2 linked regions of the Oryzias latipes genome follow. The protein of the gene in region 1 purifies or fractionates together with the protein of each later gene. This does not show direct contact. Links are inferred from orthologs where the notes say so. Each region holds a gene or a part of one and is shown in the gene's direction. Other genes may lie near its edges.

Region 1 (7,776 bases):
ATCACACTTATTGCAAGGAAATACCCGGATAAAGCCCAAATGATGTTGCACTATCAGGTCAAATCACGTTATTAAAAATATTAAAAGTTCTTTGGAAGCCTTTTTTTCCCCTCCAATGTTTTTTTTGTCATTTTTTAATGGGGTCATTGTGTTTGGTGTTCAAGTTGACATTGCTCACCAGCAGGGGGCGGCAATGGGCTACTTTCTACTTGATAAAATCCAGCCTTAAATGTCCAGTTGTCGTTTTGATAAAGAAATTGATAAATGAATATTATAAAATAGTTAATAATATTTTGCTAATCTTGATTTATTGGCAGAAAATAAATCGTTTAGAAGTATGTCTGCATCAGGTTTGGACTTTGAATTTTGTAATTCATTAAACACAAACAAATTCTTGAATTGATACGAGATAAAAAGATAAAAAAATAAGTGAAATACCAAAATCTTATTGCACTAAGTAGAACCAACTAAACTTATTTTTGGGATCTCAGTAAGGGAGACCATTTGTCAAAATAGCATTATTGATAAGGGTTGTGCATTATAGGAGTGTCATTAATCTATTCACTCTTTCTGCTCTTCTTTCCTTTATTTTCATTTTTCTAGTTCCATTAAGTTAGAATTTGCAAATATTAACGAATATTTAGTGGTACTTATTCCTTTTACATTTTATACACGACTGAATATAAAATAATAAAGGTAATGTTATTACCTTTATTATTTTATATTCAGTGTCAAAAAAGACTACTGAAAAATAAACAGCGAAAAAGAAAACAGATGTCTGAGTCAAATTGGTTCCATCCCTCAAAATAATTATAATAAGTATTTAAATATTACCCAACTAAATTAATATGGATAGCTGATAGTTTGATAAATAGAAATAACGGTTTTTTTATGTAAATGTATTTCCGTCTTGTCTCCACTAGATGTCACTATTTTCCTTCAAAACTTAAGTAGATTTTTTCAATTAGAAACTTCCACAACAAACTCAACAAATACATTACATTTTTTCTGTTGTTTTGTTCATTTCCTTCATTTTTTATTTTATTAATTTTTTTTGGAGCAGCTTTGAGAGTCCTGTCCTTAATTGTAACTACAGCTTCACCTTTTCTGATTGACTATCTAGGATTTAGGTTTAAAATAATTTTGTTTAAATTCTATCACTTTAGTCGACCCATATTTCAGAAAACAGATGCAAATCATCACTTTGTAGAAAGATTTAAAAATGGATTTTTATTTGTAATGAAGAGGAGTGTATTTAAAAAATAATAATATTTAATAATGAACTTCCATATCTTCCCAGTGGAAATTTTTCTTTCCTAAAAAAAGAGGAGTTCAAATCAAACACATTTAGTTTGAGATTGTCAGGAGTTTTTTTTTGTTTTCTAACTGGGTTTTCAATATTTACTCTGTCTTTCATAACGCCACATTTTTGTCCTACTTTTGTTCCTTTTCTGTGGAACATCATCCTCCCCCTGCTGCTGCCACATCCATCAAGTATAAAGGCCTTATCCCTAAAAACTGTAACTTGTTTTTTGTTGCAAAATGACTTTTCATACTTGACCCTGGTGCAATCCTATGGTGGATAAAGGTGCAGAGGATTTCATGTAATCCATGGACACCAGTGAAGATCACAAATCATTGAAGAAAAAACGTTCAGCGCACTGTCTAGTGGGTCTAGATGACCCCACTCCCGATATCAGAGTGCCTAGGATAGAACAAGGGTTAAGTAAGTAAAGATAAAAGATTTCACAAGATAAAAACATTCTGTATTTTCTGCTTGAACCTATTGTATACAGTGTGCTTTTATTTCAATGTTATGTCTGTTTGTGCATCTAGTTTAAATGAACATCTGTTTAGATTCCTCACAGGAAGAACTTGGTACATGCAGAACACAGAACCAACACTAGAGGTCAGGCTTCTCTGAGATAGCGGTCCAGATGAGAGCTTCGCAGAGGAACTTGAAACTGGAGTCATCCCAGTTTGAATCTGACTTAAAGTTCATTGAAACAGTTCAAAGAAGCTGGGACTAACTTCAGATCAGGGGCGGAGCTAGCAGGGCGGGAGAGGGGCAGTAGACTTTGGAATGGTGGCAAATGAGAAAAGCAGAGGTAACGGCCATTACAAATAAAAAATACATACTTCAAACTATTTTATTATTATTACGAATGTTAAAACAGCTTTTCTTTTAACCAATGTGCTATTTCTAATGCTTAAAGAAGCTTGTTTTGATGATTTATTAATATTTGTCAATGAAAATACTAATATTGACTCAAAAATTAGAGGGGCGGACATTTTGCGGGGGAGGGGGGCAGCCTTGTCCCCTGTAGCTCCGCCCCTGCTTCCGATTATTTTACTATTTTTATCTGATTGAAAAATGTATTCTTATAAATGGGTGATAAGACTTGTTTGGGTGAAAAAAATACATTTTAAACTTTTTACTTCACCTAGGGTCAGCTTTTTTGTCACAAATCATCACACTTGTTGGTCAAATTTAAATTTTCTGGCAAAATCAAGATGCAAATATCAGGGATTGATGAGAAAAACAAACTAACAAACAATTTTTTTAAAGCCAAAACTAACCCAAGATGTTTCGTGAAATACTCTAACAAGTGTATTTGAAGAAGATTTAAATTAATAAAAGAGCTTTAATGAGCCAATCAAAACGAACTGGGAAGGGAAATATCCAGCAGGATCCATAATCGATGATTGAACATTAGTCCCGTTGAGAGGCGGGTGCGGAGTAGGAAGGGGGGAGTCACAAGAGGAAGAGGAGGAGGAAGAGAAGTGGGGTGTGCGGAGGGGCGGTGAGGAAGAAAATAACGGCGCATCCTCGCGGCTCAGCAGCATCCCGACCACGCCGCCGCAGTTCGGAAAGTCCTGCCAAGTTTTCTCCAGAGAGGCCGCCGCGCGCGCGTGCCGCGGCCGATGGAGCCGCGCGCCTCCGAACTTCCAGCTCCGCGGTACTTTTCCAGGGAGAAGTACGAGAGTGAGCGCCGCGCGCCTTGACACGGATAGGAACCCGCGCGGCCCGGACTGGTTCCGTCTTTCTGACGAAACTTTCCGAACCCAGACTTAGCTAACCATAAGAGACAACACGAAGCACAAGCAAAGGGGTGAGTCGAACTTTTTCCCGGAGATTTTGATAAGATTTAGATTTCCACTTTAAAAAAAAAAGGTAATTTGCTTACTTTTTAAAAAGAATATATATATATATATATATATATATATATATATATATATATATATATATATATATATATATATATATATATATATATATAATGCTCATATCAGGATAAAAATAAAATATAAGATATATAGAGATAGAAAGGATTAATTGAGTTTGTGCAATGATGGGAATTATATTTATAGCTGTTAAAATGCTGCTTAATCAGGTCACTGATGGTGATTCATTTTTTCAAAAACTGCATTATTTACATATTTTCACAGTTTCAGGGTCTAGCAGCATCTCTACGTGGCTGGACATTATAAAAAAATTACAATACTCATTTTATAGGGAGCAGAAATTGATGTTTGCATCAAAAAGACTTTCAAATATTTACTTGTTAGTCCAAATATGAAATCTCATTTCTGGTGTTTGTGAAGGTGGAACATCTCCTCTGCCTGGAGCTGCTGCGGCTTTTCTCTCCGCCTGAAAGGCCGCCTGCGTTCATTTGCATCAGAAAAAAGTTTTAGTGCATTTGCTTTTGTGCAGGATGAAGAGTTCCAGCAGTCAGGGAGCAAAAGGGGGGGGGGGGGGGGGCTGAAAAGATGTGAGGAAATAATGGGGCCCTTCACATTATTCAGGATGACATGAAGGGGGGGCTCCCAAACCTGTGAAGGGATGTCACTTTCATCCAGCGCTGCCGTTTTCACACAAGCCCGCCCTGCGCCCGTCATTACCGGCCCTGCTGCGGGTTCTCCCCAAAAATCTGCGCAGAGTTTAATGAGAGAAAAGAAAGAATAACACGCGGGGGCTGCACGGGGAGAAAGGCATGCGGGCGGCCACGGGGGCGCGATAAATGGGAATTGGAAGTGAGTAAAACACCCCGCTGTGATGACTCAAAAGTCTCTTATCCCACAAAACAACAAGTCCGCACCAATTACAGCATGTGGCCCCGGGGCCTTGCCGCAGGATCCTTGAGCAGAATAGCAGCATCAGTGGATTTAGAGAAGGGGTGGCAACGAATCCACAGATGTCAGACCTGCTAAAACACATCAACCATCAAGGAATCCACTCAGTTCACCTTTAAACTAAACCAGAAAGCATCGACGCGGGGGCTCGTCCGGGATCATTTGACTCATTTTGGGCGTTAATCATAAGAAGTAAAAGATTTTTTTGAAATGAAGTCATCTCATCCGACCTTTTTTCATCATCTTTCTGATCAAAATTTTGTCTCACAAATGAAACAGCTAAAGGTTGTTGTCAGACTTGTGAGGTTTGCTCGGTGAAACTAGCGTTTGTGTGTAAATGAGCTCGAGTGAAGCTGGTAGAAAAGTGCAGACAAATGTTTGTGTTGCGTTCACGCCGTCGGGGCCGGACCCTCACGCCTTACTTCCTGTGGAGTGTTTAGATGACGGCCGCTCTGGTTTCATGAGTAAGTGGATTACAACTGTTTAGTTTTCTGGCCGACCCCGACTAATCGCTGGCAAACAGTCTGGGGAGTGAAAACAGGATGATTATTTTGACAGCAACGCTGTAGAAATAAGGAAGGCTGGAGGAGCTCATAAATTCTGCAACTTTGTCAAACACGCACCCTTGTGCGCATGCACGTGTGCACACACACACACACACACACACACACACTCTGCTTTATAAACATTTATTTTTAGAGTCACTCTGAAGATCTTCATCCAGCAGATCTTCCTTAAGATCAGACAGAGGAAAGCAGCCATCATACAGCAGCAATTACACATGATGAAAACACGCCTTTGTTCATGAAACGCAATCACACACACACACCGACACACACACACTAAGGACCAGTAGACATGTGAAATCAAAGGTCCAGGGGCCGCTGAGGGGGGGGCTGTAGTTCCTCCTCTGTGAGCTCGTCAGATTGGCTTTGATGCATTTGTTAATTAACTCCTGCAGGAGCGTGTTGGCGCCACCATCGGGCTGCGTGACACTGCAGCTCTTTGACAAAAACGACGGTCCCGACACCGTCAAAGGGGGCGATGTCAGCAAGTCAGAGATGAAGAGTGCCCTCCTCTGCCTCAGGCAAGGACGGGGAGGTTTACGTGGTTTTCTTTGGCTGTTGCGTCTCTATGAGGCTTCATCCAATCGGGGTTCACCCCCCCCCCCCCCATCTGCTTCTGTCCATAGGGGCCCCCTGGTGGCATTCCATTAATGCTGGAGCGTCACAGGTTTGTCCTGTCATCCGCTGTTAGCTCTCCCTGAAGGTGAGGACGACACCTTTGAGATTCTTAGTCGTCTCCTAGAAAACATTCCATCTTCCTCGCCGTTTTCCAGTCACTTACAAACTCATAGAGAGCGGAAGCATCGAAGCTTTTGAATAAAGAGAGTAAGCTACAGAAAAAGAGATTTGTGGGTATTCTTTTTGGTACGTCGAGTGAGCTCATAGTTTTGCAAAAAAAAAAAAAAGAATCTCAAACACACCAATTCTCTCGAAACAATTCCAGTCTAGTTAGTTAGAAAATGTGAGTACTTTCAAGTTGCAAATGGTCAACGAAAAAAGGGAATCGGACATCTTAGGCACACGAGTGATGCAAAACACGCTAATAAAGTTAGTTTTTACTCCATTATAAGCGGCATTAGTGTGGTCCGATTCATTTTTATCCATGGCCCTCAATGCCAGACACGTCGCAAATAACAAGCGTTCTTTGAATTATCGCAACTCTTCAGCTGTTTACGCAATGGACGTAATCCCAACGGATTCTGACTTGGACAGAAGCAGCTTTGCGCCAATATTCTACACTTTACAGTGATAAAGTATTGACACAATTAACGTAAACCAGCTGAAACCTACGCAGGGAAAAGACGGTTTACGCAGATATGCTACACTCAACAGAAGTAAAGAGTTTACCCAGTTAACGTAAACCAGCTGATTGTGACGTGGAAAAAGGCAGCTTGCACCACTAATTACGTTAATTGCGTGAACGGTTGAAGAGTTAGGCTAGTTCAAAAAACATCAACACTGGAGCCAACGCTCAGATGTTAAAGGACTCGACGGTCAGTACGATTATACATGTATATTTGTGTGTGTAACATTTAATTTCTCAAAATTTAACTGTTAGCTAACCTTACAGTTAGCTAACCTTATGCTATCTTATTTTAATCGTGTCAATCATAGTAAGTCTTTTATTTTCACTTTGGAGGTTTCATATTTGAATTTTTGTGCGTTCAGAAAGCGAGGTAAGCATGTGCAGAGGGCCTTGTTTTCAACTGCCAAAACGGGAAAATTAGAAAAAATTAAAACCTTTTGGCAACCAAAAAATCAAAATCCCTGACAGACTTGGATGGTTTGAGACAAATAAACTAAACATTAAATGCTTACTTGTGTGTATTTAGATAAAAATGGCTCCTCTAGCAGTTAATTAGTTGAATCGGTGACTTAATGTTTGGAGGTGACAAAGGCTCACCGCGGTGACCTTTGGGGTCCACGCAGGCGGCGCAGCACAGGAAGTGATGGTCCACTCGAGCTGTAAAACAGCGAGTGGCCATGCTGCAGCTGAACCATTTGGTTGAGGGTCAAGGATCAAAGCGGCCACGGAACCTCAGTGGCGAGCTGGAGTGGACTTCACACCGCCATCAACACGCTGGAGGCTGCTGTGAGAGGTTTAGAAAGTCAAGGCGTGCAGGCTCCTAATAAGGGCTGACAAAGAGGTGCAGGGGTCAGGTTTTTAGGCATTAAGTGACGCTAAAGGGCTTCAGAGTCTCGCCTGTCAAGGTCTGACACAGCAGGGATCAAACCCGAGACACAGCAGCTTTAACACCGGAGGAAGTAGAAAAAAGTGGAGCGAGGTCTTCAGGAACTCGCTTGAAGAGCTCCAATCAATCTTTGGTGTCAGAAAGTGTCTGTGCTGTTTTATCACTAAAACTGACTGACTCTTAAGCATTTTTCACCCCGAAATTCAAAAGTTTCTTCCAACTCTTAGAAAACGTTTGATGCCGTTCCCCTAAAATGGAGAAATCAAGCCAAAGTTGAACGGAGTACCTTGCTGTTGAGTGCATTAGACATTAGACATTGATTCGGTAAAAAACCCAACATTCTCTGGACTGAAATGTAAAAAAAAGCAGATTATGTTGCAAATTTAAGACCTTAAAGGCTCCTCAATCAAAGCAGGGCCTGAACACAACTTCGTGGGAACTCGTGGATTCAAACACTTTACAGGAAATCACAGATACGTCACACCATGTTGCGGTTAAGAACTGGTGGCATGCCCTTTGTCACCCGAGGAAGCCACCCTCTGCCCTACCTACCCCCAACATCAACCAATGAACGGTCAGAAGAAGAGATTGTATTACCGCGCTAGACTTTTCCACAGAAAACTGTCTGTCTGGAAGAAAAAAAAAATACACGCCGTGTCCACGGTCTGTCTTGTACGACACAATGTTTGTTGTTGCTCATGCTGAGATGTTTTGAGCGGGCTGCTGTGTGACGGGAGGCTTGGAATCTGGCATCTTTAACTGCTAAAGTCCTCTCAAGAGTCCTCTTCAACTGCTGGAGCTGTTTGTTTCTGGCGCTACGGCATTCCCCTCGTTTATCGTGGGAGTTGCGTTCTAAAAAATAACCCGCAATGAAGCTCTATGAA
Region 2 (8,078 bases), on another chromosome or scaffold:
AAGTGACTGTCAAGCTTACCGTATGGAGGGAGTGTATGAAAAACAGAGGAGGGGAGGATGATGGGTGATGTGGAAAGGTGGCTGTATTTAAACTTCTCTGCTCTGAGGGTCAGACACTCTGCTTCATCCTTCCTTGGAATTTGGAGGGAAAAAGAGAATGAGAAAACTTTGGGGAGGATCGGAGCTAAACTGGACAAGAGGAAAACGCTTGGAGCATTTTATATGGAGGGTTTTGTCGGGTAAATCTAGGATTTTTGAAAACAAAAGGTAGGTTTTGGTAAAAATGTCAATGGACATTTTGTTTATTTTTCAATATAGCTCTGCTGAGAGAAAAGTGACTTCCACATTATATGAATATGAACTTTATGGAGCAGCTTGGCCCCTGAAGAAGAGGATTTTTATTCTGTGTAAACTTAAAGATGTCTTGTAAAGTAATAGGTAGGAGAACCGGTTGTTTCCCACTCCAACTGCCAGAAAGATATGAGTTTCCTGAATGTGTTTAGGTGTGGCCTCGCTCAGAAAATTCTCTGCACATTTTGTACACAATTAGAATCTAAAAAGCCACATAAAGAAAAGAAGGCAGTCAGTGAAATAACACTGACAATGTATCTCACTGTACTGCCAGAGGTAACATTGACTCCAGACCTTGAACAAGGTGCTTTTCTTTCCAGCGATGAGAGTGAGCTGCACAGGTCAGTTAATGTCAAACTTTGGTTCAAAAATGCCCTAACCGATCTTTTTCCTGCAATAGTGTTTCTCTGTATCATTTCCTGGAAGTGTGCGGTCATAACAGATGAGTAATTTCATCCCTTGGTCAGAACACAATCGCCCTGATCTGATTCGGCGCTCATATATGAGCTTGTTAGACTATCGTGTTAGTGGTTGTAAAGCATTTCCAAGAATACTGCTGCTTCTAACATGATCAGCTCTTTCAGCAAACCCTAGAACCTTGTGTGAGTTTTACCCATGCACGCTCCTGTCTGCTTCCTACTTTTCTTTTTATTTGAAACTTTAAGAAATATACCTTTTTCACATTTCCAAGCAAAAACGTACTAATGTTTTATTTTTTTAAAGTACACCACAAGAAGAGATTGAGATGAATATCAGCCTCTGTTAAACTTAGTCAGCACATACTTAGCCGTTGCTCAATCTTTAAGTGAAAGAAGCAGAGTTGACGTTATCACATCATCATCTTCTGAGGAAGTGCAGATGAATGACTTAGCTACATCATGAAATCACATCACTTACTTTAAATTATCCTGACTTAAGAATCTTGGTGGTTTTTGTGTTGTCTTGTATCTATTCTTTAATGCAAAAATGTGTAAAAACGTTGATGCTCGAGTCAAACAACTTTGCTGTTCGAGGATCAACTCCTGAAGGCGGTTTACGAGAAGTGCTCTACTATGAGAACTGAATTCCATAGATGGTAGCTTTTCTAGGTGTCATCTATGGGCTCAGTTCTTTTGGCATGGTACTGGTTTGTCGAGCATGCCGCAAAGCAACAGACCACGTGCATGTAAAGCCAAGAGTTCTTGTGCAATGAACATTTGTGGATGGTTTTATTATGATTGTATGTTATACATCTGTTTGAAATGCAAATGAATTTCTTTCAGATTATACACTTCAACTAATGTAATTAAAAAGAATAAATAAAAGATGGATGTTGTTTATTTTATATTCTAATAAAATATTTGAAACTATCTTTGTCAATAAGTTATTTTAAATTTTTTTGCTGTTTGTTGAAAGTACCAGCTTATCTCATCCGCATCTCTGTGTTTCCTCAAAAGCTGGATCCATTGTAATGGTGGCCAGCAACAATTTTAAAACAAACCTTTAAACCATTTTGTGTTTGATTTTTCTCAATGAAAAGAACATAAATTAATTGGGCGTTATCAAAATGTCATCAAAAATCAAAATTGTATAGTATTGATGCTTACAAAACCCAGAAATAACCCCTAATCGGCAAATAGAATTGTTCTATCTGGAAAAGTTGTGACGCTTCCACCCAGATCTCTTTAAAATTTGATCTGGAAAGCAAAATATTGATTGAGACATAATGAAAGCAGAAGCTTTTAATTAAGAGATTATTGTGCATGAAAGCAGTTGTGTCATTGTTTTGCAATGAACCATGTTCGATCTTGAAACTACAGTTGACACATCAGTTTATTTAAGGAATTTCTTCCTGAATCACATAACACTGTCCCACTGTAAGATCAAAACAGATACCACTGACAGGTTGCACAGCGAGGTTTGGAATTCTTATCTTTACTCATGTCCCACGCAGAAACCAATTTCTCTCTTGTTGAAAGACGTTTCCCCTCAGTTTCACCCACACCTGATCTCACACAAAATGATCAAAAAACAGATTTGACTACAATTTACACAGCTGTTCATCTGCAACGTTCTGTGTGATTAAAGAACAAATCTTAATACCAAAGGAATTTATGACAGGCAGGTGGGGATGTTTTGTGTTTTTATAATAATTTTGATAATCCGTACATCTTTTAAACCCCCCTTTTGGGGTTAGACGGTTGCTGAAGCCTTGATGGACAAAGGTTAAGTATGCGCTGGGCAGGTTGCCATTCTGTCACACACACTTAAGGGGCAATTTAGACATTTCAATTAACCTATGAAGCACATTTTTAGACAGTACGGTAAGAAGAAGTTGGAGTTCCCAGAGAAGACCTGGAAAAGCCCCATAGCTGGGATTTGAAGCAGAGCCTTCATGATGTGAGACAAGAGTGCTGACCACTACACCAGCGTGCAGCCCAATTTTGACATATCCTTCTATGGTGGGGTTATATTTTATTATTTCACTTTCATGCTCATTCGGAGCAGAAGGAAAGGTTATCCCTCATCCTCAGTGTCTCCAATTTGAGCACATTCAGAAACAGTGTGTGTATTACTCCCCACAGCAAAAAAAAAAAAAAACATTTTTATTGATTTTGTCTAGTTGTTTTAGGGTTAATTCATTCACACAAAAAAAAATCCAAAGCTCCCTACTTGGATTCTTGGCGCCTTTTGTGTTGATTTACATTAAATGTCATCACTCTTTTGAAATTTGTTCTGTTTTATAATAAAAGAATAATATAATAGCTGCCATGAGGTCATAATTATTTAAGACCAATTTTAGATACAAAAAAAAATAATATGGAGGCCATCAGGTATATATTTTGTATATCTGTTTTGCTGTTGGAGTACATTTCCCTATGAGTAAAAACCTAATGAAACATCAATCCGTCCGCATAAGCACTGGCCTCTACTATAGTTGCATCATATAGGTTAATTGAAAACTATAATAATAAAAATGACAACAATAATTTTTTGACCACAGTTTTTTTAAGTCCGACACAGCGGCTCAAAAAGCTCCACTCCTATTGGTGGATAGAAGCGTCGATCTGTGACGTCATCCTCCCTGGCCAACCAGCTGTTTGGTGTTTTTTTTTTTTTTACCCCTTGTGGACAATGAGCAACAGGCCCCTGAGTTTAGCACAACGAGGAGAGTTCACTGTTACACAACGCCTTGCTTTTGAGAGATTTCTTTATTTTAGTGTCCTGAAAAGTAACTGAATTTGTTTATCTTTATTTTTTCGTCTTACAAAGATAATTCTGGATTGTTTGAGGCCGTGGTATGGACGAGATACGGCCTGTTAGCGGTGCGCCAGCCCACGGGCTGGTACCACTGTTTCCTCCGGGGCTGCAGGCTATCTATGGGGAATGTCGGCGACTTTATCCCGACCAAGCCAACCCGCTGCAAGTTACTGCCATTGTAAAATATTGGTATGTAACAAACCATTATTTTTAATCTGACAAAAATCTTTATAAGAGACTTTTTTGTGTGTGTTCTTCATGAAGCGATAGCTAGCATTAGCAGAGAAAAAGTTTAGCCTAGCTAAACAACTTAGCTAACATTTGGGAGATTTCTTCAAACAAAGGATGTTATTTTGATGGAATTCGGAATTTTAGCACCAAGTTTTATTGTTAAATAAAGCACAAAAAAGTGTAAATAATAACACTAAAATCTTTTCATCTCTCAGTCAGTTTAGGTACACATGACAGGTTTTGGAATAAACGTAGTTTTTTGACGCATCATGTATTGATCTTAATGGAAAACTTGCTTTTAATAAATGAAATGTTGTCTATACATTAGGCTTGGTGGGCCAGACCCGCTAGACTACATCAGCATGTACAGAAACATGGGCCGTCCTGCTCAGGACGTTCAGGAGCATTGGCACTATGTGAGCTTTGGCCTGAGTGACTTATATGGCGATAATCGTGTTCACGAGTAAGTTTTTGCAAATTTATTGACATGCTATTAAAATCATGATTAATCCAAATGTTGATATGGTACTGCACCCCCCCCCCCCCCCCCCCATAGTTAGCCATATGTTTTGATCTGTATATATCAATGCAGAGATTACCAAGGCAAGCCCTGCTGTTTATAAAAACATACACAAATTTACGTTTTTCAGATTTACAGGGGCAGATGGACCTAGTGGGTTTGGCTTTGAGCTCACCTTTAGGCTCAAAAGAGAGGTCGGAGAGACTGCACCTCCCACATGGCCAGCTGAACTCATGCAAGGATTGGCACGATATGTCTTCCAGTCAGGTAAAAATCGCAATCTGGTGCTCCTTCAATGTCCACATGCATTCAGATGATGCTGAAACATACATTCTCATGGATGGATAACAATTTTGAAAGTTTGATGGACTCCTGTTCTTGATGTACATTAAAATCCATAAAACCGTTTGTGAAACTGGTTGCTGCTAGTACGGCGTTTAAGTATTTAGCTCTGTTATTCGTTTTAACTATACATCCATTTAATTTAGGAACGTTGATTACTTTTTAAGGCAATTCTTTTCTTGGCATATGGTCTTCCAGTTGAAATCAATTTTTTTATTTATTGAGAACTGTTTTTTTTTATTATTCTATTTCAAAGATAAAAAAGATAGAGTTTTGTGGCTCCTGTAAACATCAAGAGTTGAAATGCTATGTTATCAGGTTTCTAGTTTTCTTCTGAGCCTGGATCAGAAAAATGTGGCTGAGTTGGGGTAGACACAAAGGAGGGGAAGCCGTTTACTCTAGGCTCTCATTTCCAGCTGGGGTCAGTTTGGATGTGGGTGGGCTCCTAAACAGAATGATTGCTGATTTTTCTGACCATCCTCCCCTTTGCTTCTCTTCTGAGTCCAGATAGGGAGCTTGTTGCCACCCAAGCAGATGCATTCACTCAGATGGATGAAGGCCATTTATTTAGTTTTTCTTGTTGTTTTCTTCTGATTTTCTACTCATCCTTTTTGTTATGTCATTTTTTGGGGTTCTTATTGCCTTGATTTTGTTATTCTTATATTTCTGTGCAGTGATACAGTAAAGTAAAGGAATGAGGAATGAGTTTGAAAACACAGACCCAGATGTACTAGACTTGATCTCATGACAGTCTTAACTTCCAACCGCATTGGTTGAACTAAAAAATAAAAAACTGCCTCTCTACAGAAAACACCTTTTGTAGTGGTGACCATGTTTCATGGCACAGTCCACTTGATAACAGTGAATCTCGGATCCAGCATATGCTGCTCACAGAAGACCCGCAGATGCAGCCAATCCAGACTCCGTTCGGCACAGTGAGCTTCCTTCAGGTGAATCCAAATTCCCTTCAGCTACAGAGTTCATAAGAATATATAGATATTTCTTTAGTTTTTGTTTGTTAACCACACTTTAATATGTTAGGTCGACCGGGTTTGTATATAATAAATATAGATTGGCATATTATTTTTCTGTGATTATCACAAAAAAAGGGATTTAAAAATGTATTTGTCAGTATCACAGTTTTGGTTTTTGCATTTAATTCTGTTAATTAAACATTCACTTTGAAGGTTCTTGTGTAACAAAGAAGGAAAAAACTGTTACAAAAACACTCCAATGACTGTTTCTACTGTCACGCTTCGTATTGTTTCTTTGCCTCGCTCACTTGTGTTTTTCTGGCTCATCTTTTTGGTTCATCATATGTGGATTGTTTGAATCTGAAATTCTGAGGTTTTCATTCTAGCGCCGCTGCTAAACTGTTAACCTTTTGTTTCTTTTACTTAAGTCAAAATGTCATATGAACATCAGAGAAATAAAACTTTCTTTTCAAACTGCATTTAAGGAACAGGAACAAAAAAATAGCTTTTTTTTTTACATGTTTCCAACTCTATTCAAATGTCTTATCTACACTCATCTGTTTTTAAAGGTCATACTCAGCATTATTCGTGTAAATAGCTAAAAGATTATCCTATATATATGCATTAACTATAAACAGTGCAAAATACCAATAACTGGTTCTGGTGGGTTTCCTTTTCATCAGATTGTGGGTGTTTGCACAGAGGAGCTGCAGGCGGCCCAACAGTGGAACGGCCAGGGCATCCTGGAGCTGATGCGTGGAATCTGCATGTTAGTAGAACAGAGTTTCGTTTGCTTTTTTGGTGTCCTCATTCTGTTCCTACAGAAAGAAAGAGGCTCTGTGATCTTTTCACTCCCTCAACAGTGTGATGCTTTTCAATACTCATTTCAAAATGGATTCTTTTAGCATCAGCCCACCTGATGGTTTCTCTGTTTCTGTTTGAAAGGTTATTACAGCGAATTTGTGCTTTGGTTTTCCTTTAGGTCATTTAGATTTGATTCATTATTTTTCCAAAGTTGCAAGCATAATTAAAAAAAAATCAAATATTATATACAATAAATATTGATAGATGTGATGCAGAAGTCTCCTTATTTATAGGAAAACATATATTTGAAATGTTTTTTGGTGTGTGCTGCAAAATCTCTCATAGGTTAAAATGTATATGTTTTTGTAAAGTCCCTTGTTTTCTGAATGACGAAAAGAATTTAGTGAACAGAATATTTTAAAATAATTTTTTAGACAGTCAGACCATGACAGGCTAAATGTTAAGGTGTTTAAAAAGAAAACTGAAATCTGTGTTTTAGCTAATGTGCATCCACTTTGACTAAGTAGCAATCATCTTTGATTTCCGCTAAGATTTGACTTAAATGTAAAAAATAACTTTTTTGGTCAGTTCTTTTATGTCAGAAACAAGTCTGCTGGGATTTATTAAGCTTTTGTATTAGTTTAGGTATAATCTGTGTGCCTAAATTTGTTAATTAAAGTTTTAAGGGGATTCCCTGGGTGTAGTAATTGAGAAATGCAGTTCTAATTCATCTATACATGCCTTTTTCAACCTGAGGTTAATGTTGATGCTCCCTCTGTGTGCAGAGCTGGTGGCCCTTGGCTTATCACAGACATGAGGAGGGGAGAAACCATTTTTGAGATCGATCCACACCTACAAGTAAGGTTTTATTTAGCATCACGTGGAATGTGAAGCTCTTATTTGACATATTAGTATGAATCTAGTTTAGATGAACTGAAATACATGACAATAGCTTTAAAAATCTTAAAATGATTAGGGATTCCTGCTCATCTTTTTATTTGATCCTTGCACATTTGATTGTTGACTGGTTTTTATTCTATTTATTTTTCTGTATACCATGTATATTGACAATAAAGGCTTTCTATCTTATTCGTAGAAATTTACAGTAAATATATTAGACAGAAGTTTAGCATTGGAGGCTTTTAAATCCAACCAGTTGGAAATTGTATTATTTTTAAGTTGACATTCTTTTTCCTTGTATTCCTAAAAATGTTAACTTTTGTATATTTGTCTATATAAATGTAAATGATTGTGGGTTTTCTATGGCTTTTCTAAGCAGGAGAGAGTGGACCAGGGCATCGAGACCGAGGGCTCGAACCTGAGCGGTGTCAGTGCCAAATGTGTGTGGGACGATCTGAGTCAGCCGCCAGAGGATGAGGAGGACAGCAGATCCATCTGCTTAGGATCCCAACCGCGGAGGCTGTCAAACAAAGGTAAAGCCCCGCCCCACATAGAGGTAAAACTGTTTCTGCCTCAGAAGAAGACGTTTTCAGCGTTTTTTGATATGTTTAAAAACAGACACGGAGCAAATCAGAGAGACATTAAGAAAAGGACTGGAGTTTAACAGCAAGGCAGCACTACCGCCCATCAGCAGCCAGAAGCAGAGTCACGAGAGG

The links. The genes of interacting proteins can lie anywhere in the genome.
Region 2: the proteins of gli2 (region 1) and sufu purify together in Homo sapiens (affinity purification with mass spectrometry; 3 studies listed by BioGRID and IntAct, with this or other methods). This does not show direct contact. The link is inferred for Oryzias latipes from reciprocal best matches to the Homo sapiens genes GLI2 and SUFU.

What each region holds. Positions count from the first base shown.
Region 1 is NC_019860.2:10,603,815-10,611,590, reverse strand, and holds the start of gli2 (zinc finger protein GLI2), read left to right. Parts: upstream 1-2,703; 5' UTR 2,704-3,113; intron 3,114-7,776. UniProt on the Homo sapiens protein: Functions as a transcription regulator in the hedgehog (Hh) pathway. Functions as a transcriptional activator. May also function as transcriptional repressor. Requires STK36 for full transcriptional activator activity.
Region 2 is NC_019873.2:23,437,528-23,445,605, reverse strand, and holds the start of sufu (suppressor of fused homolog), read left to right. Parts: upstream 1-3,450; 5' UTR 3,451-3,631; coding exon 3,632-3,780; intron 3,781-4,150; coding exon 4,151-4,285; intron 4,286-4,472; coding exon 4,473-4,609; intron 4,610-5,491; coding exon 5,492-5,634; intron 5,635-6,341; coding exon 6,342-6,427; intron 6,428-7,247; coding exon 7,248-7,320; intron 7,321-7,738; coding exon 7,739-7,895; intron 7,896-7,980; coding exon 7,981-8,078. UniProt on the Homo sapiens protein: Negative regulator in the hedgehog/smoothened signaling pathway. Down-regulates GLI1-mediated transactivation of target genes. Down-regulates GLI2-mediated transactivation of target genes. Part of a corepressor complex that acts on DNA-bound GLI1.